Oryza sativa Japonica Group: one gene and its partners. Each later gene encodes a partner of the first gene's protein in a complex. Links are inferred from orthologs where the notes say so. Each region holds a gene or a part of one and is shown on either strand. Other genes may lie near its edges. The genes, in order: protein TIC 40, chloroplastic; protein TIC 20-v, chloroplastic; protein TIC 22, chloroplastic.

Evidence for each region.
Region 2: protein TIC 40, chloroplastic (region 1) and protein TIC 20-v, chloroplastic share a complex: the UniProt entries of both Arabidopsis thaliana proteins name them as parts of the tic complex. The link is inferred for Oryza sativa Japonica Group from reciprocal best matches to the Arabidopsis thaliana genes TIC40 and Tic20-V.
Region 3: protein TIC 40, chloroplastic (region 1) and protein TIC 22, chloroplastic share a complex: the UniProt entries of both Arabidopsis thaliana proteins name them as parts of the tic complex. The link is inferred for Oryza sativa Japonica Group from reciprocal best matches to the Arabidopsis thaliana genes TIC40 and Tic22-IV.

What each region holds. Positions count from the first base shown.
Region 1 is NC_089038.1:22,283,748-22,294,459, forward strand, and holds protein TIC 40, chloroplastic, read right to left. Parts: upstream 9,104-10,712; 5' UTR 9,025-9,103; coding exon 8,832-9,024; intron 8,323-8,831; coding exon 8,208-8,322; intron 8,128-8,207; coding exon 8,070-8,127; intron 7,983-8,069; coding exon 7,965-7,982; intron 6,656-7,964; coding exon 6,403-6,655; intron 6,264-6,402; coding exon 6,145-6,263; intron 6,072-6,144; coding exon 6,008-6,071; intron 5,886-6,007; coding exon 5,807-5,885; intron 5,542-5,806; coding exon 5,501-5,541; intron 5,408-5,500; coding exon 5,362-5,407; intron 4,691-5,361; coding exon 4,593-4,690; intron 4,124-4,592; coding exon 4,020-4,123; intron 3,945-4,019; coding exon 3,897-3,944; intron 3,787-3,896; coding exon 3,733-3,786; 3' UTR 3,309-3,732; downstream 1-3,308. Other genes in the region: uncharacterized protein, read right to left, coding at 9,958-10,437. UniProt on the Arabidopsis thaliana protein: Involved in protein precursor import into chloroplasts. Part of the motor complex consisting of a co-chaperone (TIC40) and a chaperone (HSP93) associated with the import channel (TIC110).
Region 2 is NC_089036.1:30,719,463-30,729,789, reverse strand, and holds protein TIC 20-v, chloroplastic, read right to left. Parts: upstream 6,246-10,327; 5' UTR 6,023-6,245; coding exon 5,339-6,022; 3' UTR 4,928-5,338; downstream 1-4,927. Other genes in the region: transcription factor BIM2, read left to right, coding at 2,459-2,474, 2,617-2,721, 2,835-3,221, 3,308-3,419, 3,609-3,678, 3,758-3,853, 3,932-3,970, 4,077-4,254 and 3 more; rhamnogalacturonan I rhamnosyltransferase 1, read right to left, coding at 7,962-8,205, 8,387-8,544, 8,661-8,865, 8,972-9,261, 9,345-9,510, 9,618-9,706, 9,797-9,864. UniProt on the Arabidopsis thaliana protein: May be involved in protein precursor import into chloroplasts. Not redundant with TIC20-I, TIC20-II or TIC20-IV.
Region 3 is NC_089040.1:5,937,411-5,948,427, forward strand, and holds protein TIC 22, chloroplastic, read right to left. Parts: upstream 6,842-11,017; 5' UTR 6,664-6,841; coding exon 6,223-6,663; intron 6,138-6,222; coding exon 6,075-6,137; intron 5,637-6,074; coding exon 5,562-5,636; intron 4,806-5,561; coding exon 4,761-4,805; intron 3,906-4,760; coding exon 3,846-3,905; intron 3,797-3,845; coding exon of another isoform or gene 3,767-3,796; coding exon 3,695-3,766; intron 3,616-3,694; coding exon 3,580-3,615; intron 3,504-3,579; coding exon 3,414-3,503; 3' UTR 3,069-3,413; downstream 1-3,068. Other genes in the region: uncharacterized protein, read right to left, coding at 8,437-8,736. UniProt on the Arabidopsis thaliana protein: Involved in protein precursor import into chloroplasts. Imported into the intermembrane space via the Toc translocon. May be involved in the import pathway used by proteins without a cleavable N-terminal pre-sequence.

The DNA of each region.
Region 1 (10,712 bases):
CAGTCAGTCGCTGGTATTTTCTTCGAGGTCCAGAATGGAGGAGATGAGAAACATTCGGTCTCTTCTCGAGATGTTTGTGAATGGGACGACATGGCCAAAGTCAGAAACGAATTTTCATCTCGCTGTAATCTTTGATCTACACGCGGTAGACGCGTAGAATTAACAGGGATGTAGAGAAGAACTCCGTGTTCTTGATTTCGATAGATGAACTTTCGTGCAATTATGAGATACAGACCGGCCTAATCCGTGTACATTCTTGTACTAGTTTTTGTGCATTTTTCGTGCAAGCCACAGGGGTTGAGGTGTCAATTGCATTCTTGTACTAGTTTTTTCTGTCTCTGAAAAAGTTTGCAGTTGAGGAAACGAAACCCTGCATCTTTCCATCTTTCTTCTAATCTGTGTTACCTTACAAACATTTCACTAACCTTGCAGTGTTCTTTTATGAATTTGTGTTGGTGATAAGATAATTAAGCTGGTGCAGGAGACTGTTCAGACAATATTGTCTTGATGTTAGGTTAGCTCAGCTGAATGCTTCTTGTTACGTGAGGACATAAAGATTTTGAGAACACAAGTGTGCAACAATCTGAACACCGAATTGCTGCGTGTTGCGCCTTTTCCAGAGACCTTTCCTGAATTACAATTTTCCTCGTGACAGTGTTGTGGCCTTTTCAATGCGAATGATGCAGATCAGTCTGCGCTTTTGGCCTGAGAATCAGTTTTTAGTTTTACCTGGTCATTTTTTTGGGGGGAAAGGTTCTTCAGAGCCTTTCTTTACAAAGATTCCTAGAGCAAAGACAAAGTGCTGTACTGTAACTATCTGGAAAAAATTGCTGTAATATATTTGTGGTGGGGATCGTGTTCAAACATGAGAACCAGGTCAACTAGTAGTTGCATCTGCATTTTTACTGAAGGCCACAGCCTTTTTTTTTTTCACCTGTACTTTTAGTTTTCCATAATATGTGTGATAAATTTCTCGTGTTTTCGCCAGCGATAAGCCTTTCTTGCGAAATCATAGGCTTTTTAGATTTTGATCAATATCAAATTCTGAATTCTATATTTCTATCCGTGTAAATGATGAAGAGAAGAGAAGAAAAAAAAAACATGTATTGGTTTCATAAAATGAACATCACCTTTTCTTCAAAAATTGGCAGTGTGCGAGCGACAAAGCACTATTCAGAGTGCAGACTTTTCTGTATCTTCAGCTTGAAGTTTAATTTGTTAATACATCCATGTCGTTTCGTTGACTATGTTTGTCTGAATCAAGAACTCATTAACATACTGCATGTTGCCGAATGCTCCAACATAGCTATGATTTCAGAAAGGTATCCGTCATTGAAATTTATGTAAATACTGAGGCCGATGCAGCACTGACCAGACCCAGATGTTTATTTTACTTTGAACATGAAAACAACTTTACATATTTTTCGAAGTCGTAAAGCGGCAGACTGTACAACTTCAAGTCTTCGATTGCGAACGTGACAAAAAAAAAAGCAGTGGGACATCAATCTTGCGATGTACTACCCTTTTTTTCGTACCAATAATCATTAACAGAATCACATTTAAAAAGCAACAAAGGGGAGATCAGAGAGTGCTTATCTCTGAGAGTTGGTGGGTTTCCTGAATGGAACAGCTGAACTGCAAACAAACCTTGCACCCTCATTTGCTAAGAGAAAAAAACAAACACCTGTAGAGCTAGAGCTAATGGGTCTTGAAAATTACAGTGACGTCTTAGAATTTACGAAAACAACATATGAGAACAACTGGCCCTAGTGATAATAAAGCAATCCAATTGACTAACAGAATCACTTTCTCCCCACTTAAAAAACAAAAGATTGTTTGTTTCCTCCCTCTATATTCGGTTTCATGCGGAAGCATTATTGGTGTAGTGGTAGAATGGAAAATGCATGGCACAACCTATCAGATTTTAAACGTTACTCCATCCGTCCGAAAATATAATAATTTCTCCACCTACATTTTTTTCTCAACCAATCATAATATTCCACCATTCATATTCTCCACCAACTCTCTATTTTCAACCGATCACAATATTTTTACCATTTAACTTTACCCACTTTGTTAATACTCACGTTAAGCCTAAAACTCTATTTTGGGGACGGATGTAGTAATATCATAATTATGACCACGTGTATTCTTAGTTGCTGCAGTGGCTGGAGGTTATATATACTTTCTAAAAAGAAAAAATTGTTTCACCTCTCCAGTGCAGCCTACTCAGGCTACTCTTTTGAAGTGAAGTCGCCTCTTTTCTCACCGTTTGTGCCGGTGCTCGGTAGCCGCATTTGAGGATTTTGTCACAACAACAACAAAAAATAAATAAAAAGTCCGGACGGATTGGCTGGCGCGCCATTGCTGCGATTACGAACGACCCGTTGGGCGGCGCGCGGGGTCCCTGCGACGTATGCCGCGAGTCAAAACGCTGATCGCTCGTCTGTCTGAGCGAGTAGTAACGACGCAGCCTCAGGCTCAGCACACACAACTTGTCTGACGACTGACGGGGGCGACTGGTGTTGTGGATGGTGTGAGACCGTGTGACCTCATCTCGAATCCGCCTGCACTGCAGGCTGCGTCCCTGCGTGCGGCAATTTTGCGCTAGTTATACCGCTGCTGGTGCTCAGGTGTGGTGGTGGTGGTGGTATCTGACGGAGGATGGTGTTACGTACGTAGACGGGACGGGAGGGCGGGGGGGGGGGGGGGGGGGGGGGGGGGGGACGGTGGCGCCGGTGTGCGTGGCTGGCTGGCTGGCTGCACCACCGAAGGCCACCGACCGACCTCCCCCGCCACGCACACGCACGCGTCGTCTACTACCTGCGGCTACGAGACGTCGAGACCCGGACAAAGAAGAAGAGAAAATGCGTCGTGTGCGCGCGTGGTGAGCCGTGACGCAGGTGCTCCGCCCGTGTTTGAGGCCGGAGCGCAGCGGTGGCCTTCGGCTCTCACGCCTCTCCATCAAAACAAAACGGCGTGAAGCAAACTCAAAGCAGCAAAGAACCTGTCTTGGATAATGGAAATGGAATTGTTGATCGCATCGTTTGCCGGGAGAGCCCCTCATATGGGAATCCAAACAGAGCACTAATGGTAGATCCACCGGATCTCTCTGCTCGTGATCAGCTGAAAGTAGGCAGTTTGTCCTGGTTACCTCACTGGTAGACAATGGTATCCTGGAACCTAAAACATACCTCTATCACTATGGTATGATCATGAGCTCAGTAGCCTCAAGAACTTGAATTATTAGCCTCCAAATTATATGTAGAGTAACACAAGCACCAATCCAACCAAGTTGCTTTGGAAGATAGTAAACTTGTTCGCTTGCATTGCAATGCTAACACAGATATAATACATAATATTATCAAAATTGAGGTGATATGAACTATCTCTGCATCTTCACAACCTACCACAAACCTCGTAACGTCAAAGCACAAGCTACACAGTTGTACGGGGGCGCGGGGATGTAAATAAAAAAAATCCTTAACTTCGCTTCGTTGCCTGCTCTGGCTTGAGGCAGGGTCACTACCAAACCAAACACTAGGCGATATGATGATGTACATTGGCAACTCAAAAAACCCTGACAGGAAAGCTTTTACATCTTGTCCGTAATGACTGAACAGATGAACTTCGTTTCCTTTTACTCAGCCGATCAACAGATGTTACCGCAGCCACTTGGAAGAGATGATAGGGCAACAAAAATCAAAACTGCAATCTCACGGCGACGATCCACTAGCCATTAATTTGAGGGAAGATTTGTGATATCTTCATAAAAACATCCATGACCTAAAAGCAGACTCATCAAATTAGAAAGAGAAGCATGATGCAATCCATCTCAAGTCTTTGAGTAAATTGATAAAGGTCCAATAGATGACCGGAATACACAGAAAACATACCTCTTTGTCGTTCTGGTATTTTACAATATTGAGCGGGTTTTGTGAGCACTGCATCAAGATGATTCTTTGTTAGAAGATGCAACAGTTTATTCAGTAATGAAATGAATTTGTACAGAAACTTACATCCATGATCGCTGTTTGAATCTTTGGGTTCTGGAATGCAACAGCAACTTCTGGGTTTGCCATTATTTTCGATACTACCTCCTCTGGAGTCATGCCAACTTGCGCTGAGCAAACACAAAATAGATTGATGTCATATATGCTCATTTGAATTTGAATAACTTTTTACAAAATGCGATGGAACAATTTTGCAATAGATGAATTGTTGCAAACAATAGAAAACTAGTTCAGCACAATGGAATCACAATCCAGTTTAATTATCTCCACCCACCTACCAAGTATGCAAGGACATAATAATGGGAGCAGGTGCGAAAAACTCTGCTAGGCGTATCTAGCACCAGAAAGTGACAAAGGGGGTAAAAGAACATATGCTCCATATGACTTCACTATAGCCCAAAAAGAAAGAAAGGAAGACAGAAAAGAAATAAAAAACAGGTTCGCATTAGGGGGGAATAGCACATATCATCGAATTGCTCACTGGGATAGGGTACTAAAGCATAGCATGGAAGCTAAACAGAATTCCAGTGTTCCAATCAGGAACTACTAGGTAAATGTGGAAATGTTTAATTCACTCACCAAACTGCTGCCTGACTTCTGGACTGCTAAGGTCAAAATTCTTCAAGTGATCGAGCATTCGGTTATCCCATTGATCAGGAGATCCACCCATGTTGTTTCTGTTTAGAGAAAAACATCAGCATAGTCTAAGGAAAGCCAGATAAGATTTGTATATTAGTTACATCATGCAATAATACCGCAAGTCTGCAAGGGACATAATAGACTGTAGGTAATGATCAGTGGCACTAACACAACTCAAGTTGGCATAACCCATCAAATACAAGGCACAATTCTACAGGCCAGTCCACCACAATTCTAAAAGCCGAGATGTAAAAGGCTTAAGAGTTAGTTTAGGTTATGGTGTTTTATTTGAGTCTAGCAGGGTCTGCTGCAGCTCGAGGATGAGCTGCTCGAAAAGAGGTGAGTAATGTCATGGGCTTTGGGCCGGGAATCCTAGGCCCATTGGATAGAGTCAGGGTTTGTTAGGATTAGGTTAAGTAGTCCTCCATCTATATAAGGAGGGGATCCTATCCCAGATCAATTAGGCATTAGATCAATATTTATCTTAGTGCCCATCGGCCCTGCCTTCTCAGTGCGACGGAGAGCGTCGCGCCGTTTAGGTTCAGGGTCATTCCCTGTTTCTTCCTCTATTATAATCCAGTTCATTTTCCTTCACCCCGTTTCATCCCAAATAATCCTAGCACATGACAACTTCATTGTTCAAGACAAATTAAAAGTGACCTAGCAACAACTGGCTTGGAGGGAAAATATTCAAGGAAGAGTGTATTACAGCATATCCTGTAGTTGTTGGCGGTACATTGGATTCTGCAGCATCCCTGTAACATAAGATTTCCAGACATCAGTCCTCACTATATCAGAACATATATTTTATGTAATATCGGAGTGTTAAAAAGTAAGTAGGAGCATACACTTGAATGAATCAGGGTTCCTCATCTCCTCAGGCAAATAGCTGCAACACTTGAAGAAATTAGCAACCTTCAAAATTCTTAGGTACTTCAAAATGTGAGCTCTTAATTCACAGTTATTATTCCACGTTTTACAAGAACTGAAGACTTCAGAAATGAAACAATTAGTTATTCCATGCAGAATTAACTTCATGTTATACTGTTGTGGCACTGTCCTCAAAGATGTCAAAGATATCTAACATCAGTAAAAGGTGTATAACCCTGTATTCATGTAGACAAAATTCTGACTTATATTGGTCCCAAACTTACGGGTAAACCATCTTCTGCACGGCTGGATCTTCCATCATTTTCTCAATTGTATCAACGGACAACATAGGCCCTGAATTGCCTACATACATAATCAGTTTAGGACATTTATCAACAGCAGATAACTAAAAATCCTTAAACAGAAACACAAATAAAAAAACTAAATGTGAATAATAAAAATGTGCTAATGATAATAGTACTTACTAGATTCAGTTGTCCCGCTAGCAGAACCTTCATTCATCTTAAAAGCAGTTCCATTTGTTGGAGCCTATGAAGATCATTGAAAATGATTAGTTGAATTGTACTTGGAGCCTATTACAAAGCTTCTTCATGCAACTTACTTTTTGCTCAGTATCCTCCATAGTTTCACTCTGTTTACTCTCACTTTTTACATCCACTGTCTCCAGTGAAGATTGAAGTTCCTTTTGCTGCAACTCTTCAGGAGAAACGTCAACAAAGGCTGCAAACATTTTGTTACAATAACATGAGATATGCATGACAAAAGTATGAAGAAAACATAAGATTAGACACTAATCACAAGCTCCATCCCCTATTCACTGATAGTTGGAGAAGAATTCTCAGAGATAAACGGCCAATACCAAATTTCTTCTTTGGCTGTTCAGCCACATCAGCCTCTTCCAAAGTTCCAGTTGCTTCCACTTTAGTAGCTGAAACATCGACAGTTGCAGATTGAGGAGAGGTATCTTTCCTTGGTTGTGAGTATGGGTAACTGCTAGGAGCTGCAGGAGCTGCCTGTGGTGGCATGGCAAATGGGAAAGGCGAGTTTGAGCCAAAAGTGTTTGGCGGTGCCTGGGTCATCATTGACTTGAATGCTTGTTGCATTGCATATTTCTGCATCAGAATTAGCAATGTGTCAAAACTGGCAAGCAAGGGAGAGTTATACGATTTTAAGTTCCAACAAGACATTATACAGATCAAACCTACAAAGAGAACATTGTATTAATTAAATCAGTGCAACAATGGATACATCACGATATACTTTCGAGAAAAGAAGTGGTGCAACAATGTTAACTCTCTAGTAATTAAAAGAACTAGTGGAAGTGATGATGCTGTATCATCCTCACTTTGGATCTTTTATGGGTGAATTTATGTATACATGTGTGTTACTTATAGGTTTTTTTTGTAAAATATTGCACTATTTTACATGCCAATATTTTGAAGCTGGGTGAGGTGATATGATCATATTTTACATGCAGAATTTACATTAGAGGACTTCCTTTAGTCTTTTATATATAAAAAAATTTGATCTTAGTGAGTACTCCCTCCGGCTCCATAATTCTTGATGTTTTGGACAATGACACGGTCTTCAAAATATATCTTTGACTATGTTTTTCTATTATAATATATAATAAATATATATATTTTTACTTTTATTATTGTACTTTATAAGACAAATCTAAATATGCTGTTCTAGTACCTTTAAACTAAATATTTTTAAAGTTATTGGTAGTCAAAGTTATAAAAATTTGACCTCAACCTTGTCCAAAACGTCAAGAATTATGGAATCGGAGGGAGTACACCAAATTGTTTTGACATCCATCACAATGCATGGATATTATGCTATTTTATCAATATTGAAAAGAACTAGAAATTATGTGATAAGAAAATGAATTGTCTAACAAAACTACAATACTCCCTCTGTACTCGTAAAGGAAGTCGTTCTGGACAGCGACACGGTCTCCAAAACACAACTTTGACTTCTTGTTTCTATAAAAATATTTATTGAAAAGTGATATATGTATACTTTTATGAAAGTATTTTTCAAGACAAATCTATTCATATAATTTTTACATTTTCAAACTCAACAACTTGAGAGTTATTCATGATTTATATTCCCAAGGTTTGACTTAAACATTGTCCTAACATCTTCCTTTACGAGTACGGAGGGAGTACACTGCAACAGTACCACCTTTGCTAGAACATATGCCATGCATTGCTTCAAACTATTAAGAACTAGAAAGGAAGGCATGGCTCACATGTGGGTATGTAGGTTCATCACAAAAAAAGCTCACTAAAATACCTCTCTTGCTTATGTACTAGTATGCAGAGGTGACCATGGGTCATTCTCAAGATCAAGTATGCAATTGATAGGGTACATACCATTTGAAGATGTAGAAACAGAGGAAAGTTGTGAACTCACCTTTACCATCGAAGAGACCTGATATAACAGCCAACACCAAGTATTAAAATACAACTCTAAGAACATTTAATCACAAAAAAGCATTACAGGTAATTGTATTCACACCATAGAAAATGCTGCGGACAATGCTACACCAACTCCAATCCAGAAAACAGGCGAACCGCTGCACAAAGGATTTACATGTCATCATGCAGTGTAAGTTGAGAAAATTGTAGCCAGACAAAAGAAGGGAAACTGGCGCACATGTATGACGATGGGGGTGGCATGGGAGGTAGGGAACCCGTTCCAGTTGACATATTCTCACTGTTGGTCGAAGACGACATGCTTGCAAATCCATTTGTCTTTAATCCCTCGAAACCTGTTGTTACAACTAAACAATCAGAATAATGGAGATCCTCCGGCAGCATAAGATTAAAATGGGGGAAATCCTAAGCTGATTGGGATTGTCTATTCGTCGGCTATTACTACAAACAAGGACAGATATGCTGACCATTTTGTACTCATCATTTGCCACACTACCAATACTGGATAAGGTGGCCATTACTAACTCACCAACTGCCACCATACTACGAAAATAAAGACAGTATTCCATCACGGATGCATGACTTAAGGTCACTAAATTCGCAAGGATAACACACTCAATTCCACTAACGAAGCCCATGGCACAGCGATGGATCCAGCTGATACACAGAGTATAATAAAATTCCTGACAATCCCACAAAAAAAAACACTATAGCACGGACACTTGAAGCGAGCGCATACGAGAGCTTTCAGCGCGCACCTACCCAAAGAGCGCATCCGGCTCGCATCTAACGAACAAACCTAAAACGGAAGCACACCCACACAGAAGCACACCACCCCCCTCACCGTTCCCGGACCCGCGGGCCGCGGCGGCGGCGGCGGCGACGACGACGAGCTTGGACCTCCCAGCTCCCCTCCGCCCGGACGCCGCAGCCGTCGCCGGGAGAGTCTGCGAGGAGGGGCGGCGGCGGCGGGCCGCGGAGAGGGGAGGCAGGCGGGGAGAAGCGGAGCAGGAGGAGGCGAGGACCAGGCTCTCCATGCCGCCTGCTGCGCGCGCGGGGGGAGGGAAAACCCTAGCTTAGCTCTACTGCTGCTGCTACTACAACTACCACCCCCTCGCCCCTCCCCACTCGCGCTAGGGTTTTGGGTGGGTGGGTGCGCGCGTGAGTCGACGAGAGACCTCGGGCTCGTGTTGTGTAGGCTACGTTCCCCCTTTTACCCCTGCGGTGAGTGATAGGAAGCTGAAACGGAGGGGAGTCATCGCCTTCCGCTGCGTGGGGCTAGTATCCATCGCTATCGGGACATTCAGAGTTTCAGACTGTCAGCGGCTCATTTCAGGCACTAATTGCAGACAGCAACATTTAACCACTGATGAAAAAAAATAATACTACTACTAATTAAGATGCGATGTTTCAAAATTCGAATATCTCAAAATGCAATTCGGGCCAGTTCAAAAAATGAAAAGGGAAATCCAGTAAAGTCGAATAAACAACTTTTATGCCTTGTTATTAACTGACAAAGTTCAATGTTTTGGTTCTGAATTTGAGAGAAGAGAGAAAATTAAAGTAATCCCGTTCACCATGGAATGGAGTGTAACTAGTAGTAGTAATTTGTGCCATTGCAGAAATCATATCGCGTTCAATCACTCAAGTTACAAAAGTACAACGGTATACATGAATGAGAACATATGCATACAACCTTCAGTTCACTGTGCTAAGTTATTTCCCATCTTACAGCAGAACAAATGTTCAGAAAAGCCGAACGAGATATTCTAACGTTGAAGGGTTGCCTGCACATATATTTTGATCAAGCAAGGTAGAGCATCATGCAGATCAAACCAAGGGGATTATCTCCTGGAAATGCTAGAAGGGTGAAACCATCCATCATTTTACAGTCTTCCCGAAACCTCAAACAAGAATATGATGACCTTAGCCTATAAGAAAAAACTCGGTGAGTATCTCTGCCTCGTACTTCATATCTGCTGCGCTTTGGCTTTCTTCCGCGCCAGAGCTCTTTCTCTGGCAGCAGCAAGTGCATCAGCATTTCTCTTATAGTGTTCATCCGTGATCTGTGCTGGTTGAGTATTCTGTGGATTCTGGGTCTGAGGAGCTGGTTGGGTATTTTCTGGTGTCTGGGTCTGAGGAGCATCCAAGGAAACATCTGCATTTTTCTCGGTAGATCTAGCAGCAGCTGAATCCCTTGATTGAGTTGTAGCAGGTTCTTCCACACTTCTACTTTCATTGGCCGTCTCTGCTCCTTCACCGGAGTCCCTTTTGTGCTTAGGAGAGCGATCGGATACTTCAGCACCAACCTTGCTAGTTTTAGCATCTTGAACTTTCTCGTCTAACTTTTCAGGTTTAGCATGTTTTGTATTGTCATGTGTCTGTGCACCGAAAGCAACATTCTTACTAAGACCAAAGTAAAAATCACTCAAGTCTTTCTTCTTAGTAACCTGTACAAAAATAGACGAAGGAAACGTAATCAGTTACAGTGAGCCAAAAGAATTTTTTGTTGTGAACCATTAGAAGTAATTTTATCTTAGCAAATACTCCCTCTATCCCATAATATAAGGCGCGGTCAAAGTTGGCACGGTCTTCAAAACGAATGTTTAGCTTATAATTTCTCATATACCATAAGGTTTGTAGTAACAAAATTATAACCATATGAATGTAAATTTAAATCTCGATCTAATGGTATAATTTTTAACAAATAAAATTCATTTTATAT
Region 2 (10,327 bases), on another chromosome or scaffold:
AGCTAAGCCAGCTACTGCTGATACCTGTTACTCCGCTTTGTAATTTTGTTACTGCAGAGACATGATGCAGCGAACAGAGCAGGTGCGACGTACTGTACTGGCACTGTAGCAGCATGGTAATAACTTGGCGGTGGCTATGGCGTTGGATCGATGCGTTGGCCACGTGATCGATGCTCTCAGATCTGAGTGACGATCGAGCACTGCGGGAGGATATCTTAATCGGGAGTTAATTTAATCGCGGGCCGGAGTTGTTTACTGATCCCTAAACGGATTCCTCAGCTTTGCAGTTCTGCAGAGGGAATGTTCTGATCAGAGCAGAACAGAGGAGAGGACAGGAGAGGCACGTCCACCGATCACGCACTGCCTGCCTGCGCTGTCAATGATGGGATCAAATCATTTCGATCGGGATCGATCTAATCTAAAGAACTACTAATCCGGCCGGCATGCACAAGGTAACTACTCGCCATTAGCCCTTGGACGTTTTCTTATGTCTCGGAGCGAAACGGCCACGAAGCTTCGTGGGTTATGCGGGACACATGCTCCTTGTCGTTTTTTGGGCGCAACGACTTTGAGAGCTTAAGCTAAAGCTCTTCTTCTATCTCCTAATCAATTTCAAATCCTAATTGTCGGATGCTCACGCCGAGTCGGTTCACGAGAACCCTAACCTGCAACGCCGGTCACTCTCACTTCCCGGCTCAGATTTGCCACACAGATGATTTGACAGTCTCGCCAATTCGCCGTACGTGTTTCGCTTTCGAGCTAGCCGCGTCGTCGGGTTCATGCACCGCCCCACGCATCGACCGATCGATCGATCGGTCGCGTACCGACGGGGACACGGGGTCCATCCACGTAGATCGTAGACGCATCCCCACACACCGCGGGGCACGTGCACCACGGCACGTACTACGCGCGACCAATCGATCCAGGCAATTACGGGTGAGTGTGACATGGCCGTGCCCCGTGCACCGGTCCACGAACGCAGCAACACAACGCCCGGTGGTCGCGCGCGCGGGCCGGGATCCCGATCGATCTCCCGTCCGTTTCGGCGAGCGCGTGGCATGTCGCGCACGGTAGATCGATCGATCGATTCGACGCGCGCGCGCCTTCGGTTGGAGGCTGTAAAGGCGGCCCCCGTCCGCTGGCGCTGGGTGCGGCGGCGCTGGAAATGCACCCGCGGCATGAGTCCGTGCCACTGCCTGCCGGTGGCGCGCGCGCGCGTGGCGGCGGCGAGGCAAGCGTAGCTAGCAAACTGCTCGGGAAGGGCAGAAGGCCAGGTGTCGCGTGCGCCGCCGTCGGCGTGCATGCGCGCGCAAAGGGCGGGGGTGGAAACGGCAGGAAAGCGCGAGGCCCCCACCCCGCAACACCGCCTCGCGCCACCGGCGGAGCACGTGAGCTGCTTATAGCTAGCTAAGTAGCCTCTCCTTTTCCTTCTTTCGCTTCTACCTGCTGCCTCGTTTATCCGAAGTTGGCATTTGCTCTCCTCGGTTAAAAGTTGATGTATCCGCTGTCCCGCAATTAGCGGTAACCGATCGGTAGCTTTGCTGTCTCGTCGGTCATCAAAAGGTTGGCCATCACAGATATATCGATCAAAACTACCGTGCGCAATACTTAATTACTTTGCCGACGTACATATGTAGCTTTAACTAAACAACTACCCCTATCTTATATTATGAAACTTCTGCAGGTGACATGCAATGCTTTCGCATCTGCCGGGAAACTATTCTAATTTCTCGAGGGGATGTTCTCTTGTTTGCTTAAAAACCATCTAAACGGTTATGAAAAATTCTGGAAAAATTTGACAACATCCATACAACACATATATGCAACTCAACTAAATCTTAAGTCCAAACTCAACTCACACGTCGAGATATAAAAAAGACAAATTCAGCCTATGAATAGTAGCGTACTGTTTATATCTAAATTTGTCTTTTTTGTTTCTCGATGTGTAGATCGAATTTGAACATGAATTTTGGTGGACTTGTAGGCATCATTATACTCTATATTGTCATTTTTTTTTTAGAATTTTTTGCAACTATTTGCATCAAATTTGAAAGAAAAAGGTATACGGGGGATATCCCCTCGAGGGATTAGAATCCACTCCCTGTATAGTATGATGATGCAAAGGGAGACGTGGATGTGAGAGAGTATAATCTAACCATGAAACGTTTGTTATATCAAAGGTACAAAGTATAATACTACCAGCCAGACAGGCAGGGAGGCGGCAGGCAGCAGGGCTTACCTCCCTAGCTTATTTGTTATATCATTATCAGTCTCCTATCCTTCTCGACTCTCTCTTAGCCGACTATAATAAGGTCCGAGTGGACAACCGAATTCGCTACATTCCATCAGTGTACTGCCCAGCGGCAAGATCCAGGCGCCATCTTTCTGCTGCAACGGCAGGCCGCTCGGCTTGGCAGCAGCGTCGACAGATCTCCAGTGTCCTGTGTCCCGGGCGCCAATGCAGCTTTTCCAAGGTATCAAAGAGAATTACACTTCACCCTAGTGTCCTTTCCTTCCTTCCTCCAATTCCACAGCGTCTTCTCTCTTCACCGCATGATGCTCATCAGCTCATGGTACATTGCCGTGTGTTGTGTTGTGCTTGTCGGTGATTCGCAGGAGAGGAGCCGGCTCATGACTTCCTCTCGCTCCGCGCCGGCGGCGGCTCGTCGTCGCCGCCGTTCCAGCACCGGGAGGAGCAGCATTCCAGCCATTCATCGCGAGGTGAGCTGTCTGCACCGCCCTCTCCTTTGCCTTCTCAACTGCAAGTGCCATGGTGTGCAAGTTAGACAGCAATGCACCAACTTGCTAACCCATGTTACCCATGTCAAGTGCAGGATACGGTATGGAGATCCGCAGATCACTGAGGCCACTGGACCTGGCCAAGCAGCGCGGCCGCAGCAGCGGCAATGGCACGGCGGCGGGGAGTGCCGTCGACGGCGCGTCGCCGGCAGGTTCGGACTCGGAGGAGCACGTGCTACCGGGCGGCGTCGGGACGTTCAGCATCAGGCACGCGTCCGGTACTCCGTCGAGAGAAGAGGCCGGTAGCCATGGCGGCGTCAGGAGGAGTGCGTTCGCATTTGCACCTGCGCTTCATGGCGCCAGGATGGAGAATGCACATGAAACAGGAGGAAGATCTGGGAGTAGGGCTCACCGTGCGCCGTCGACGATGTGGCAAGATTCTGCCATTGATCAAAGATCCATAGGCCAGACACCATATGAAGGTTAGTACCGCAGTTGTATTGTTGATTCTCTAGTCTGTCACTTCAATTCAGGCACTGATGGATTTGATATATACATGTGCACTCAGCAACAAGAGCAGAGGGAAGAAGTAGCGCCAGCAGCGCCGATCAGGGACCCAGCACTCCGAGATCAAAGCATTCAGCAACTGAGCAGAGAAGGAGGACCAAGATAAATGACAGGCAAGCTAGTAGAGGTCAAACACCATTTTGAATTATTTTCTGCAGAGCAGGAACAAACCAACCATGAAGACGTAGCTAGATAGCTCAACAAGATATCATATTAGCAGCATTTAATTCCAAGACAATTTCATATAAGTATATGGTGCAAGAAATGTGTTCTAAAATGCAATTCTTCATGCTCTCCTTCAGGCTTGAAATACTTCGTGAACTCCTGCCACACACTGATCAGAAGAGAGACAAAGCTTCTTTCCTTTCGGAGGTAAACAGAATATCAATTTTGGCACTGTAGTCAGCAGGCTATATTGCAATTTCTCCCTTGTGAAGCATTTTGTTTGCAGGTTATTGAATACATAAGGTTTTTGCAAGAGAAAGTCCAAAAGTATGAGGAAGCCGATCCAGAAAGGAATCACGAGGATTCCAAATCCATGCCATGGGTACTATCATAGCCATGTTAGCATGTTCATGACATAATTGTGCAACAGTATTCACCCTCTATTTTTTTTTCTTGGTAGGCAAAAGTCTACTATAGATCATGCTGGAGAAACACAAAGGTAATTCCGTAAAATAAAAACAGCAACTGAAAGCGAATGCACAATTCATCATAATCATATACCAATGATATGTACCCATCCTTGTTTCTTGTTCATGGTCTCACAGAACACCAGTCAAGTCCAGGGGGAAGATTTGTCACCATCCACACAGGACATGAACAACGAACAGTACGGTCCCAAGCACATATCGGCAGCACAACCTGCTCTCTTCAACACACAGAGTGTAACCAGTACAACCACCAGTTCCTCCCACATGGCAACAGGCACACCACAAAATTTGGAAAGTAAGTCCATTTCTTATCACCTTTCAACAGTCAGAATTCTTGTAATTAAGAACTAGATCCACTAACTTTAATGTCTTTTAAACGCAGAGAACAGCACACCCAGCAATCAGCCACCATGGCTGAGCATGTCAACAATGCGCCAAGAGTCTGAACCAGGCAACAAAATGCCGAACAAGCATGAGAAACAGACCCTTCACGATGAAAACCATAGTATTTCTAGCGCTTACTCTCAAGGGTCTGTTCCTTAACCATTTGTTACTTCAAGACTAAAGTTAGCACAATATGTAACTAACAGGATACTACTTCAATTTGCAACAGATTATTCAACAGATTGACAGAAGCTCTTAAAAAGTCAGGACTAGATCCATCTCAAGCTAATATAGCTGTAGAGATCAACCTGGCCAAACGAGCAAGAGATAATACTAGTGACAACTCAAAGGTATAGAGCTTTACAAAGTTGATTTATTCATGATGTTTGAACATATAGATCGTCTGCTTAATAATTATTTTGTACCTTTGTCCTGACTTCACATCACAGATCAATGAAGATGAAGAGCCCATCCAAATAACCAAGAGGCGGTGCAATAAAAGCTAGAACTTTTTCTCCAAACTAGAAAATTCAGACATCATCAAGTTCAGACAATAACTTGGTAGCAGCAACCACAATCCCCAATTGATGCAATTATTTTATTTATATTGCAACAACAATTAACTAACCTAAGCATCCATTCATATACCATTGAAGCTCCTTCAGGGGAGGTCTTGAGGACACTCCCCAATTTCTCATTCATCATCTGTAAATGTAGTCCAGAATTCCATATTCTATAGCGAGTATATGTATTGCTATCTCTAAAAATTCCCAATTCAACTCATTCGTTCATACACTTGATTGTAAATTTTGTAATGCCATTGTACCAACCTTCCGTAACTCCATTCATTAAATTGGTTACTACAGCTGTAAATAATCACTGTACTAAACTGAACTTGTGAATTTGCGATCTACTAACATCAATGAGGCATCGAGATGGATGTGTATATCATTTTCCTTTGTTCCTTTTCACCAGCAAGATTTGACAAAAGCTCATCACATCACCTGGCGCTCGGCTGCATCTGCGACGATTGGCAGCCGCGGCGTCTTCCCTAGCAGGCACGCGCCCCCGCCGTAGACTAGGCAGACGAGCAGGAAGAGGAACACGGTGCTCTCCATACTCTGGAAGAGCTCGAAGCCGATCCCGCCACCGGTGGAGGGCGCGAAGGACTGCACGAGGAGGTCGGGGAAGATGAGCAGCACGTCGAGCGCGACGGCCTGCATGGCGTTGAAGCGGACGAAGCGGGAGAAGGCCTGCTGGTTGCGCACGACGGCGAAGTAGAGGGTGAGGAAGAGGAGGAAGGGCGTGAGCGGGGAGGAGCGGAAGAGGCGCGCGGCCGGCGCGAGCGGGCTGAGCAGGGTGCTGAAGAGCGGGAACTGCGCGAGGAGGAAGCGGCCGTGGTGCACGCCGTCGAGGAACGGGTAGAGGTAGGCGACGGCGGCCACCAGGCGGTCGGGCGCCTCCACGGCGCCGCTGTTGTCGTTGTCGTTGTTCGGGTTGGAGGCGCGCGGCGGCGGCGCGGGCAGGCGGGCGCGCGTGGCCCATACCCCGAGCGCGGTCTCGCCCGCGTGGCCGAGGAGCAAGGGGTGGCGCGCCTGGGAGCGTAGCGCTGGCACCGGCGCCGCGCGGCGGAGCGGGCGCGGGGACGAGAGGAGGAGGAGCGAAACGGCGGATGCCATGGAGAAGGGATTTGGTTGGGGGAGCAGCGCGGCGCGGCGCGGCGCGGCGGGTGGGAGCTGAGATTTTTGCGGGTGCAGTGCCGTGAGGTGGGGGAGTTTGGCTGGTTGGGGGGCAGTGGCGCCGCGCGGCTGCGGCCACCGGGGCGAAGGCGAAGCGGGGTTGGGAGCGTGGAGATTTTTCCAGATTTCGGTGGGATGTGGGGCATGTGGCCGAGTGGGAGACGAGGAGATTGGTTGGTGGTGCCTGGTGCGGGAGGGCAACGGCGAGGGCGCCGCGGCAGGCAGGAAGAGCATTAGATGGGCCAAAGCTTGCGGCGCCGTGCTGTTCACTGGGCCGAAAGGATCAGGCGTACTGTTTGGGCCTCGTCTGAGACGCGTTTTGCCGGTTTTCCTGCGTGGGCTACCAGGCTTTCGTCGTACCATATGCATCGCGATTTCGTAATGGGCTAAGGCGTTGTACGCCTCTCAAGCTGAACTCCGCGCGCGCGGCCCGTAATGCCCGTAGTGTGTCGTTCAGCCGTTGGCACTTGACAATTGGCTGGCAGCGATCTGACACACACAAGGAAATGGAGTGATTTTCGTTGTACGAACTGTAATAATGTGTGATTTTCGTTTAATGGATTTGGATGGTCCTGTAAAAGAAAGGGGAGAACAGCTGCAGCCTGCAGCAGCGTGGCACGTTAATCTTCCCTCCGTTCCACACCCGAGAGTTACCTGACTGACTGCTTCACTAGCACAAAAGCAGACTACAAATCTACCAGCATGGTTTACTAATTACACGAGCTATGCAGCTTGCGGATCTACCATTGCCTCATACTGCCATATGAAAATTCATCAATCTCATCCCCATTGCCTCCTACTGGCACGTTTCCCGTCGAATGGAGCACTAGTAAAATTAAATTAAACTCGATCCCAAGATGGCTCTTGCGTCAACGTTAATCCTCCAATCCATCGCACAAAACCAGGCGCATATGCACGAGCTCGAACGTAGCAGTCTAGCAGAGCGATCGCCTAGGGATCGGTTGCACGTCGAGTCCCTCGCGCGCGTTGACGAGTAGAGATCGGCAACGAAGTGGAGACGACGAGGCACTCAACCCCGTGCACTGTGGGATGGGCTCGGCTCGGCTCGGCCGCGCGCTCCGTGCCAGATTCGCGCGCATCTCTAGCGGCTATTCTCGCGGTGGTTCACTGCATTTCGAGCTGAGTGCTCCAACGATCGATGAGACGATAACGAGTAGGACAAGACCACTTAACTGCTGGGTCGCTCTTGGATCAGTGCTAATCCTATCTTAATCGCCACTGAAAACAAGATGCACTGACTCGCACGTTAACAAGTAGAGGCATGTATTACTTCGATACACCACCACAGCACAGCCGTGGTAAAAAAAATGATACATCACCGTGCATTCTGGTGTTCTATAATACACAATCAGAGCATATATACACCCAACAACCAGCAGCATCTGTTCAGACTGCTGAAACAGTTGGTAGTACTACATGGTAAAACTTCAGGAGACGGAGAGAAATTCAAGATGCAAGAGCAGTAATGTCTGCACAAAGTATGAAAAACCTGATATATAACAATTTCCTTCATGAACCATGATCGGTAACGTTCTGTTGAACTAACTTATCCACTAACCCGCCCCCATCTATACATGAATATCTTCTCTTAATCGGCGTAATTAGGAAACCTAACATCCCCAATTCCCCAACATGTAACGTCTATGTACCAACTACATTTGAGTTAAGTAGTCACAAGCTCACAATTGTATCATCCTTTCTTTCAGCTTCCATCCAAACTCCCTTGTCAATGGCCCAACCTGAAGTTCTGAACTGAAAATGCCGAGCCATTTGAGTCAGCTCGGAAGAAACAAGTTCAGCTATGCTGTAAACGTGTAATGGTAATAAGTATACTCGCGCAATTGCGCTATTAAAAATATCATGATGTCCGTAAAAGATTGGGATCTCGCAAGCACTCTTGAGGGTTAGCATAGAAGTAGTCCTCTTCCTTCGGTTTGTCATGAATCACTGTCCTTTTTGAAGCTGCTCCCATTCGGTTTGCGTGGACAGACTTGATTAGTGAAGAGAATTCATCCCACAGCATAGAACCACTATTATACTGGTCGACCAGCTCAACAATGAGTTTTCGATCCAATAAGATTGTTTTCTTAAAACCCATGAACCTGTAACAGAAAAATAATCAATCAGCTTTACCTCTAAAGAAAAGAAATTGTTTAACATTGCATAAAGTCCTCCCATTCGGTTTACATTCTATGACTATTAGAATGTCCAGGTTCAAAAGGACAATGTAGGAATATAGTACTGTACTTAGAATGCAGAGGTGTGATCAAGTACAAAATATACCTGCGGTGTCCCTCAACAACTTTAGCCATATTACCATCATATGTTGGAACAAATATATCACTTTCCAGTGATACCAAGTAATCCAGAGCTGCCATTTGTGACGAATGGTTCTGGAAGAACATGAGATCGGAAGGTTGCAAAAGTGTCTCCTTTCTCACCTAGAGCATCAATTATAAGAACACACATCAGCAAAATGGAAAAAGAGATCTGCAGTCTGCAGAGTAATGATACCAGTGATGCCATCAAAGATACATGTGCACAATTTGGTCCATACCACGTTGGGATACGCTGAAGTAAGAGCAGCCATTCTACGCTTTCCACCATATATTTCTCCAGCTGCAATGTATATCTGCATACTTCTGTCAATGTCCAAGGCTCTGAGGACAAGAGCAATCTCCTCTGGTGTCAAAGGGCAAAGGCCATCTTTTCTTTTTGCATAGGAGTTTATTACTTTCTCTTTCCACCATGGATAAGCATATCTGAGATTATGAGTAACTCAGCTGTATTATGTGACGGCTAAAAAAAAACAATATGCAAGAATGAAATGATCTCGAATTGATAGTTTGAAAACCAGCAATTTTTTACCTCATTCTTGTGAGCTCATCTGCCTCTTCACGAGTGCAGCCTTCAGTACAGCCAGAGAAAGCCAGCATATCCATTTCATATCGTAAATGAAGGACCAAAAAGGGGCCATTTTGGCGAAGCAATCTAATCACTCTCCTGCCTAACTCTTCAATATCGGAAGTGAACTTCAGTGAACCGAAGTTAACTCGGCAACGCAACTTTTGGACATCGAGCGGTAGTCCGTTATTTGCTAGCCTAGCATCAGTTCTGTTCAGATGAAGAACCTTGTGCTTCCGAATTAAAGGAAGTATCTGTACAAAGTGAATTTAAATTCAATACCCTTTTTTTCACTCAAAGTAGAATTGAAGGGCAAATAGTGAAATAGACATCTAACCTTGTTACGGTAATAAGAGATATCAGACCAGCTAATAGGTGGCATTGAGTGGAACATTCCAAGTTCCACTCTTCGCTTTACCCTTGGTGGCAACTCTCTAAGAATACGAACCTCATCTCTCAGAGATGTTATAAAGTGTTCAACATCAAATATATCTTGGAACTCACTAAAAGGAAAATTAAAGAAAGTTTGATTAAGTATATGGTCATAAATTAGTATACAGGTCAGAAAGATGCAGGCAAACGTAAAATAATACCAAAACAGAAAATGCACCTTGGATCATTCCAAAATGATGTCTTATCCAACTCGGGCACTATTAGAGTCACATTCAAGTATCTTGCAATGACAACCATATCACATATCTGGGTAAACATGAAATAGCACGTTTTGTTAAATGCTAAACATAATTGAGTGGTGTAATTTAACTAAATGATAAAATGTTAAATGCTTACAGCTGCTCGCATTTGGTTGAGTCCACCATTGCATGAAACCATCAGATAACCGTTGTTCCTATAAATTCCTAAGCAGAAAATGGAAACAGATTAGGAAAGCAAAAAAGCAGGACAACTACTAGCATGCAAGCATACTATATACATCGAGCAGAATTATACCACATTACTTTTTACCAAGTACAGATTGAATTCCAATTGAGATTCCTTAAGTGGCAAACTTACAGTAGGAAAAATAATTAACGGGCAAGGCCAATCAAACCGTTCATTCAACTACTTGCAAAGAGTGAACAAAATACGTACACCCCTCGCTTTGTTAAAGTAAAAGTAGGATTAACGGATTATCCATAACTAACATTAAGTTCGATCAAAGTTTGTTGCATGAACAGACCAATAGTCTCCAGAAGTAGAGAAAATCGTCAAACTGTACTATCATTATAGTCGCATAGTAGTTTCTACAAAAAGCTAGATCAAGCTCTTAAATGAGCAGCTAATGTTGTGGTCACCCATGTGAGTTCCTAAATGCACTACAAT
Region 3 (11,017 bases), on another chromosome or scaffold:
GGGAGGTGGGATTGGCCCATGGGAGGGGTGGGGGTGTAGAATATATATATATATATATATATATATATATATATATATATATATATATATATATATATATATATATATATATATATATATATATATATATATATATATATATATATATATATATAATGTAGTTAATAGTTTAAAATATACTTGAAAGTTTTCAAAACTTGAGTTGGAAGTTTTCAAATTTTGAATTGAAAGTTTTGAAATTGATTTAAAATTTTTCAAATTTTGAATTTGACTTGAGAGTTTTAAAGTTTGAATATATTTTTTTATTGAAAGGCTTAAATTATATTTGAAAAGTAAAAAACAACCTAATGATGTTAATTGCGACTAATTATGTGTTAATCATTTTTTAACTAATGATGTTAATTTGCGTCTAATTACGCACTAATCACGTTTTCCGTTTCTAACGACACTGTCGTATGGCTGTTCTCTCGTTCTCTCCACGAGACACGTGTACGTACGCGCTAGTAAAACATCTCGCGCGTACGCGCTAACTAGCAATCTCGCCTAATGGCCTGGGGTCGAATCCCACAATTGCACCATTTTTTCTCACATAAAAATCAAGTTGGGCTGTAAGTTGGGCCTCCAGTGTCCAGTCTTACATGGCCCATAAGAAATATGCGACCCGACCAGTTCAGGGTCACCCAGTTCAGCGGTTTCGCGTGAAAACCGCCCGGTTCAGCCAGTTCACACTAGGTCGATTGCGTGAACGATCCTTTGAGGGAACCGAGCCGGTCAGGGAGCTGGTTCCGGTTTTTTTCAGTTGAACCGTCGGTCCAGTCCAGTTTTTTCTACTATGGTCCATGGCTCAATAAGATCAATCCATCACAAATTTATTGTACATATAGATTAACCAGGGATATCCAAATAGAGAGTAATTTTATGGTCTTGAAAAGATGAGATACCAAATTCTCTAGTTTAAATTTTGAATGTACACTGCTACCTCCTAAAGACAGTGAAAATTTCTCCGGAAAACTATTTTGATCTCTCGAGGGGATGTCTCCTCGTTTGTTTAAAATCCATCAAAATGGTTATGAAAAATTCTGAAAAAAATTGACAACACTTATATAACATATCTATACAGCTCCACAAAATCTTAGGTTCAAACTCAACTCGCACGCCGAGATTAAAAAAAGACAAATTCATCGTATAAATAGTAGTATTGTTCACATCTAAATTTGTCTTTTTTATTTCTCGATGTATAGATCAAATTTGAAATTGATTTTTGGTGGATAGATAGATATCACTATATTCTACATTGTCAAAAAAAAATTTCAAAATTTTCACAACTATTTATATTGAACTAGCATGGTAGCCCGCATAGATTGCGCGGCTAGCATCATTATATTTGTTTTATCATATAATAGCTTAAATATTTTCATATTTTATCACTAAAATATATTAAAAAATAGCAACACAATTTTGAATTTTGTATTGTATTGATAGTTATTAATTATTTTCTAATTTCTAATTTTACTTATTTTTTTAATTGTATTCCTATATGAACTCAGGCTCTTCTCTCATTCTTGCTTATTTTGAATTAAATTTTTCTTTCTATATGGACTATAAATTCTACTTTTAATTTTTTAATTTTTTTAAATCTAACTTCCAGTCAGTTCTAAATTCCTATATGAACCATATATTCTTCTTTCAGTATTCTTATTTTTAATTCAGAATTTCCATAATTATAAATTGTATTCCTACTCTATTTCCAATATTCCTTATTTTTTTTAATTCCAAAATAAATTATGTTCATATATGGGCTCTAGACTCTTCTCCCAATATTGCTTATTTTTTTATTTTTAAATTTTAATTTTAGTTTTTTTCTAAATTGTACTTCTATGTGGACTCTAAACTCTAATTTTATTTTATTTTCTTAATTTTGACTTTCAGTTTGTTGTAAATTCCTATATGGACTCTAGACTATTTTTTTCAATATACCTATTTTTTAATTCTGAATTCCCGTTGTTTCTAATTGTATTTCTATATGGACTCTAAACTCATCTTTTAATATTCTTTATTTTTTAATTCCGAATTTCAGTTTTTTCTAAATTATATTCTATATAGGCTATAGAATCTTCTTCCATTTTTTTTAGTTCTAATTTTAGTTATTTTAAAATTATATTTCAATAGGGACTCTGACTTCTAGTTTTAGTTTTCCTATTTTTTAATTCCGAATTTTAATTAGTTCTTAAGTATATACTTATATGGACTCTAGTCTCCTCTATCTATATTCCCTATTTTTAATTCTAAATTTCTGTTATTTTTAAATTGTACATATATGGACTTTACTTTTTTTCTTGATTAATGTGAGAATTTCTATGCCGTGAGAGCGAACGTGGATGCTCCTTTTTCTATTACTTTAATAAGTTAATAGATTTGAAAGAAAAAGGCAAACGAGGGGATATCCTCTCGCTGGATTAGAATCCACTCCCAATTTCTCCCAAATGAATGATGGTATTGCCCTACTAAGTACACAGAGACCTTCCAAACCGAAAAGCACACTCAACCCGTTGTTCCTACTCCTCTCGACAGGGCAGCGGCAGCCTCGCTGGCGCGGAGGCCATGGCCGGGGCCCGGCCCAGCGCGGAGCCGCGGATCACCAGGACGCTACTCGTAGACTTCTCTGTGCTGGCGCGGAATCGGCAGATCCACGATCGAGTAGAATGGAGTTTAATACTTATCGTTTAAATTTTATCAAGGAATAATAATATACTTCTCGTTTAAATTTAAACGAGTGAGATATTATACACATCTGTGGTGGATCGAGAAAATTTTGCCCGTTGACTTTCTAAGATGCAATTCGAAAAGATAAAGCGAACAAGTGTGCAATTAGCCCTCTTCAGTTTAGGAAGATAAATGAAAACGAGTAGCATTGGAAAAGAAAATACAGATCATTTCGTTAGAAACAAGTGCAAAACATGGATTGACAAGGCAAAATGATTACACGAACGTCCTTTTCGGTCCAGGTGGCTAAAGATAAGGGAAACTTGGATTTTATCCCCGAAAGACCACCGAACACACACTGATCATGGCAACGTTAATTATTGTTTCTTTTATGACTGTAATCTAGCACATAACAATAATTTTTCTGTGGAACAATAATTTTCCTGCAACAGAGATGATTTTGCGCCTCATACACTTCGCCAGCTTCAAGTGGAGCTTGTATTGATGTTTGAAGGTTGAAACAATGAAAAAACCACACATATTTTTTCACTTTAATCCTGAACTTTTTTGTTACAAGAACCACTAGCAAGAAAGTATTAAAAAGAAGCTCAGGCAGCAACTTGACACTATTGATTGGCTGGCCATCACAGCATTTGAAGTGAGCAAGTGTATGTGTGCTCAAACCCTGTGGTATCACTGCAAGAACAAAATTATGCTGATACCTCATTAATATGTTGGTTGAGGCTTTTCCCAGGGGGTATAAAGATCAAGTCATCCCAACCAGAATTCCTCTCATTCATCTGTAGAAACAAGTATGTTATAATGTTTAGTATTTCCTAAGTAAAAACAATCCAGAACGCATTTCTGTCATCCTACCTCCATTTTCTTCAAGACATCCTCCAAACTCCCAACCTAAAGAAACCACAATTTGAAGGCAACATCATCAGATCCTAGGAAAGCAATCAGATATTATAACGATAAAATCACATACCATGATTTGCTTAGATAAGGCAGATCCTCTAGAAGTTTTAGAAGCCTTTGTAAGTTCTCTTTCTATGTCCTCCTGAGCTAAGAAGGCGAAAATGGTGAAGACCTAAATCAGACCGGGTAAACTACATGAAAGAAATTGAAGCCTGGCAAACCTTTTGAAAATATATCGGACAGTAACGCTTCTTCTGTTTCTTAACAACCAATAGGTCTGACTGCACATTCAAATGGGACATTATTGCTATTGGAAAGAATAAATCACCAAATGCTGAATATATCACTTAATGTCTTAAATAGTCTGTACTTAGGATAGAACGCTATGATAATCAAAAACAGCTATCAGCCTGTCAAATTCACAAGTCCAGTGCTGCAAACAACTGAATAATTGGAAAATCATACATATAATGGCACAATATCTTGAAACAAAGTGTTCAAGCATCTCCGGAAGAAAGTTAAGCATTCTCTCCTGCCATGATGCTTTTATTCCACGTGATTTTTCATGTCATACTGCAATAAACATGTAACCAACTGCGTTGATGGACCTAAAGCTGTGTACTTCAGTTTTTTCCTTGATAAGAAAATCAGGGCTTCCCTTGTTCTATGACAATCGAAACATCAGAAGATCTGATATTCCATGAAAAGGTTTAGACTACTGCACGCCTAAACTTTCAATTGAAAATTTTTGACTATCCGTTTATCTTCTAGTCCTATTTTAGTACAACAAGTCGTGCCAATAAGATAAGGCTAAAGCTTCACAAAATGATGCACACATGTGACAAATAACGAGAAATTATGACAGGACAGTTCATGCATTTACATTTAATAAATAGGCATGGGCTAATAACTAACAGGAACAAGCAGATAGCTTCAGAACCTACCTATTAGTCCATGCACTTTGGTAATATTAAGTTCACGAGTAATTTATACTGAGTCAAGATATTAATCAGCAAATCAACTTTAATACATTTATTGTTAATATTCTAAAATACATTTAATAATCGCAAAGGGTATGTCTCAATGCTTTCCATAAAAGTATATTTTTCAGTAAATAATACAGACATGAGTATTACCTGGAAAACAGGAACACCATCAAAAGCAGTTAAGCCAGATTTTAACTGAAAAAACGAAGGATAATCGTCACTGGGCTGAAGTAAGTTTGTTAGCATTCTTACATTAGTGAAACAATGCATAAGATAGCAATAATCTACATACTATACACTGTTAAGACGTCAGCTCTGATATACTCATGATTCATGAGTGAAAAGGCATGAGTTGTACATTCCATGATATACTCTGAAGTCTAACCACTGAATGTGGACAGTCCACACCAAGAAACAGGAAAAACAATACAGATTATCTATATTTTAAAATGCCACCTTCCCATATGTTTTTTTTTCTTTTGCAAGGAAGGGACTTTCTCCTTATGAAATAGGCTGACATGTGACAGCACTCCATGTGTTCTGCGTGCATCTGTCTAGTGTATGCATATCATTTGTGCATTCTGGTGAAGGCAATGATTAGTGACAGTACAACTTCTCTACCAATAATATATACAAGGAACCAAGTCCATGTGTAAAGTCTTGAGTGGTGATACAGAAAATAGGTACACACATACCCAAACTGCAAAGATCTCGGACTGTTGGTAAATAGTTAAAAACATTAAATGGGAGTAAAATTGGTATATAAGGAGTCCATTGGAATTTTGGAAGATGCAATGGCTGCATTGATGCTTTTAAGGAGTAATGCTGTCAACCTGAGGAACTGAATTCCACTTTTCTAGTGAGATAGAATGATGGCCAGATGGGCGTACTAAACATATCCACTTATAGATAAGATGGAGCAAAGAGCCACAAATCCAGAGAAGAACTAACCTCCAACGCATTCTTAATTTGAAGAGGGTCAGGTAAGAACCGAAATGCAATACCTTCAGCCTTCAACATGTAAACCTGCATTTAGAAGGACGGCTTAAGGTATATTTACATTGTAAAACATAAAAAATAATCAGCATAGTTAAATGTAAGCAATATACTAGTTGTATTGAATGAAGTAGAAACGAGTGAAGTTGCAACGAGGCTAGCCTAAGCCCAAGAACCCTCAAGCATGAATATGCAAGAAAAGCATGGGTGTTGTAAGAAAAGATAGACTAAGCTAGGTAAAAGGGGCAGCACATAAGAAACGGCAGCTTTCCTTGATTTGCTCTTGGAAGAAATCCAGGTCCCACTTTGCTACTCGTTAATATGTCATTCAGTTACTAAATTATCATACAACTGTATGTCCCTATTTAACTCTTGCATAAACCCAAATGCTCCATAACTCTTCCTATGCAGAGTTGGTCCTAGAAGAGTGATGACAAAATTGATCACAAAATATCGATTTAATCCCACCTGATCAAGCGTAATCGGCACCACTTTTGCCCCTCTCCCTACCACCGGCTGCCGCATCCTCACCTAAACCACACAAACTCCCAAACCATTAGGGCGAAAAGAACAAATCAAACAGCAAAAGGCATAACAGATGGGAAGATGAGGATACGTGGGTGAGGAGAGCGTCGGCGTCCTCGGAGCGGAAGCAGAGGAGGCCGAGGGAGCGGAGGCCGGTGGCGGGGTCGGAGACGAGCACGAACTCGTTGCTGGAGTTGCAGACGGTGAAGACGGGGGTGCCGGTGAGCGCGCGCGCGACCTCGTCGGGCGCGAGCGCGAGGGAGAGGGAGGCGGAGGCGCCCTGCGGCCCCGGGGGCGCCGCCGACGCCGTCACAGCAGCGAGGGCTGGGCGCGGCGGCGCGGCGAAGCGGGACGCGAGGCGGGAGAGGTGGTGGTGGAGGAAGGAGGAGGCCGCGGCGAGGGGGTTGGGGGGCAGCGACGAGGAGGAGGAGGAGGAGGAGGGGGCCGACGGGTTGGACATCGGGGCGGCGGCGAGCGGGAGGGAGGAGGAGGAGGAGGAGGAGGAGGAGGAGTTCGGCGGCGGCGGCGGCATCGTGGTTGGCTGGTTGCTGCTGGGTTTTCGGCACGCGACGCGACGGACGACTTGGATGGCGGCGCGCGGAGGTGTCGTGTTGCTCGGCGTCGCCGAGGAGCGGGCCGCGGGCGGCGTGCGGATTCGGTCGAGCCGCACCGTCTGGCCTCGTGGAGTCGTGCTGCACTGCAACTGGTGTGGCCTTGGTTGGGTTTGGTCGGGGGGTTTTGCTTCGGCCAATCCATTATCATTTTTTTTTTCAGTGAAAATATGTTAAGCTCAATTATCAATTTTTTTCAGTGAAAATATGTTTAGTTACAACTTACAATATGGAGGATGAAATTAGCTTCTAAGAGCATCACCAATAGAATTGGAATTATTCGCCCCTAAATTTTTCAACTCCGCGCACGCTGTCTGGGGAAGAACAGAGATCCAAGGGTGAGTGGGTGACTACCGTCTCTGTACCTCTACGTATCATGTGCTGGCCAGCGCGGCTTGCCTTGCTTAGGTGGAGGTCCAATTGCTTGCCGCATTGGCACCTCATCGTCGTGGAGGCACAGGCGGCACGGGGAGGGAGCACAAAGGAAGAGGAGGGGACGTGGATCGGATCGAGCTACGACGTAACGTCAGGTGCGTGCACTGTCCATCTATCATCCAATGGCTGTTGTTTCTCTTGCCTTCAGTCCAAACAAATTAATCAGTCTCCTTCTTAAAAAGCCCAAATTAATCAGTCTACTTCTTGAAAAGCCCTCAGAAAAACAGAGATCTAAGGGTAAGTGGGTGACTACCGTCTCTCTACCTCTACACATCATGTGCTGGCCAGCGTGCAAAGGAAGAGGACGGGACGTGGATCGGATCGAGCTACAACGTAACATCATGTGCGTGCACTGTCCATCTACCATCCAACGGTTGTTGTTTTTCAGTCCAAACAAATTAATCAGTCTCCTTGAAAGCCCTCAGATCCAGCAAGTAGCTTTACAGATGAGGCAAATATGAGGACTGTTCAAATGAGTATGAACGCACGCACGCAAACCTTACCCCTATGAGCATCTTCGAAGACTGGGCCGGCAAATGCATCCTGGAGATTGACGAAATCACCACGGGCGCCTCGTTGTCGACGGGTACGTCGCCTACCACTGAAAGCACAAAGCCGTTAAATGCTGAAAAGTTTGCTTCCATGGGGAGTCAAACCCAGGACCTAAGGTGCTACTGAGACTCTTGTAACAACTATGCTACATGCGCTTTCGCAAACATACTTAGCCATTATTATCATTGACTCATTATGATATTATATAGCATCCTTATAAATACCAATACAATTAAAGTACTGCGGACTAATAAAGTGCCAAATCATTAAATTGTCCATTGTGGTGCCTAAATTATCTTGGCCCTATTAACTAATGATTAGTGTAAGTAACCATTTTCTCAATCATCGATTGCGTTTTAGATATTATCTTACTTTTTTAACCTCTAAAAATCTATACTAGTATAGCCTTTACCAAACACCAATTGAATTCCCCTTTGTTAGTAAGCTATCGATGGTCAGTTTAAATTGGGGCCTAAAGAGATCGACAAAGATCACACATAATTTCTCCAAATCCCGCAGTGATCGATGAAACGAGAGTAAAAATAGAGAGTGGAATCTCCGAGACCAAAATCAAGTCAACACAAAAGATGTGCAAAAACACAAACATACACAGCACAGCGCGCAATCTCACACAGTTACGTACGTACATCGATCCTGATCACGCACACTTGTCGATCACAGTATGAGAGAGAGGGAGGTTAATTAATTCAGTAGTAGGAGGCGCCGAGCTCGGCGATCTTGACGTTGAGGTGCCTCTGCGCGAAGGCGAAGAGCGTGGCGACCTCGTCGTCGCCGGCGACGGCGCCGTCGCGGTTGGCGTCGGCGGCGCGCACCCCGGCGCGCGCCTTCCACCACGCGAACCACAGGTTGAGGCTCCGCAGCGCGCGCTGCAGCTCGTCCCGGCTGATCCTCCCGTCGCCGTCCGCGTCGAACTGCCCCAGCCACGCCCTGAACTCCTCCACCGTCACCTCCCCTTGCGGCAGCGCCCTGTACCTCCTGAACGCCATCTTCGCTAGCTAGCTTAGCTGATTCGATCACTCGATCTGCTGATCAGTTGCTCTACTTAGATCGATCTCTTCAGCTAGCTAGCTACTATCTCAGTGTGTAGCTCGATCTGTCTGGGTGAGAGGCAAGTGTGAGCCAGCGTCGAACAATATATATAGGATCAGGGAGAGCTTGGCTTTCTTGATTTCTTCTATTGAGTTTTACGGCGCAACTATTTACCGCACGTTTCCCACGCACGCGCGTTTGGCAGGACGGTGGTGATGCATTTTTTTTATTATTTTGTTTTCGCGAACATGTAAAAGCTTTGCGTGTCAATCTATTACCTAATCCACTGGTCGATCGATGGCGTGATATATATCCGTGGTGAACTTTGGATACATTTTTGGGTGAAAAATGATTAAGATATTAAATGATACTCCATCCATATTTTAATGTATGACGTTGTTGACTTTTTAACCAACGTTTGATTACTCGTCTTATTCAAAAAATTTATGCAAATATAAAAATACTTATGTTATTTTTAAAGAACATTTGATGATAAATCAAGTCATAATAAAATAAATTATAATTACATAATTTTTTTTGAATAAGACGAAAGGTCAAACGTTTGTCAAAATGTCAACGGCGTCGTACATTAAAATACGGAGGGAGTAGATGACAAGTGGGGGAGCTTTGCTGCAGGAGGATGCGGTGCTTGGCTTTGGGATTTTTCAAGGGGAATAATAGGCGGTGGAGCTTAAAAGTGCAGCATTTTTGGTGTTTGATAAGGTGGTGGTGGCACATAGTCTAACCCCTGCAGTGTAAAGGTACAGGGCAGCAAAGAGTACAGAGATGATTGAGTTTCAAAGCATCTAGAGTGCTCACAAAATCCACATGGAATATTTGGGGGACTTGTTTGGGTTTTGGAAAGAAATGCTCGTGTCTTTGACAGAGTAGCAAGCACATTGATGGAGGTGGGCGATGATACTCCCTCTATCCCTAAAAAACCAACCTAGTACCGGATGTGACATATTCTAGTACAATGAATCTGGACATACATCTGTCCAGATTCGTTGTACTATAATATGTCTCATCCAATCCTAGATTCATTTTTTTGGGACGGAGGGAGTACAACGGAAAAATGGTGGACTTCGACGCGTTTTGGGATCTCGTGTTGGGACTGTTTCTTGGTGAGAGCGTGAGATGATGTTGTAGATGTGATAGTAGTGTTCTGTTGTATTCCCTCCATCTCAAAAAAACGAATCTAGTACTGGATGTCGGATATTGTAGTACGATGAATCTGGACAGAGGTATGTCCACGTTCGTTGTATTATGATGTGTCACATCCAGTACTAGGTTGGTTTTTTATGGGACGGAGGGAGTATACTCTCTTCCTGTGGTCTTGAGAGTGTGCCTATGCATCATGGCTATCACCTGATAATTATGTTATGGCACTGTGATATAATATTCCCTCCGTTTCATATTATAAAATTTTCTAGCATTGTCCACATTCATATATATGTCTAGATTTATTAACATCTATATGAATATGGATAATGCTAGAAAGTCTTATAATATGAAACGGAGAGAGTATAAATATTTCCCCTAAATATAGGAGTACTCAGTAATAAATTTGCCAACGCCGACCAGGTGTCTCGGATTCTAGCAACTCTTACGGTTATTTTTAGTTTAGTGCGCGTGTACATTTGTAATGGATAAGTGAAATATGTTGAAAATTAGGTCAGTATGACCTGCTGTATTGAGAATTAAACTTACAAGAAATGACAGATAATTCATATATACTTTTCTAAGATGAGCATGGAGAATAATAGGTGGTGGAGCTTAAAAGTTCACCATTTCATTAGTGATTGAGCTCTAACATTTCATTTGTCTTGGGAAAATTCATAGTAACCCTTTCTTTTCGTGGTAGCATAATCTTTCAGTTTAAAGCTGTTGCCCCCAACAAATTTCCCCTGGTGATCAATAACATAATGTATGTTCATCATGGTCTACAATTTGTTTACCAGTGAATCATCTCTGCTCTATCATTACGTGCTTTTCTGTAAAATATTCACCGGTGCAAGTGGTGGTAGAGGGAATCATAGGGTATTAGCAGAATAATAGTTATTTAAGCAAAGTTCTAGTATTATCTAAAAAGGTAAAGTTCTGGTACTACTCCCATTGAAGCCTCTAGTCCCCAAGATTCTTAATTTGAATGATGCAGAAATATCCATTTATTTATGAAGAATCAGATTCGACAAGAAAATTGCTGCACAAGGTGTGCTAAATAAGCAAGCGCCAGAA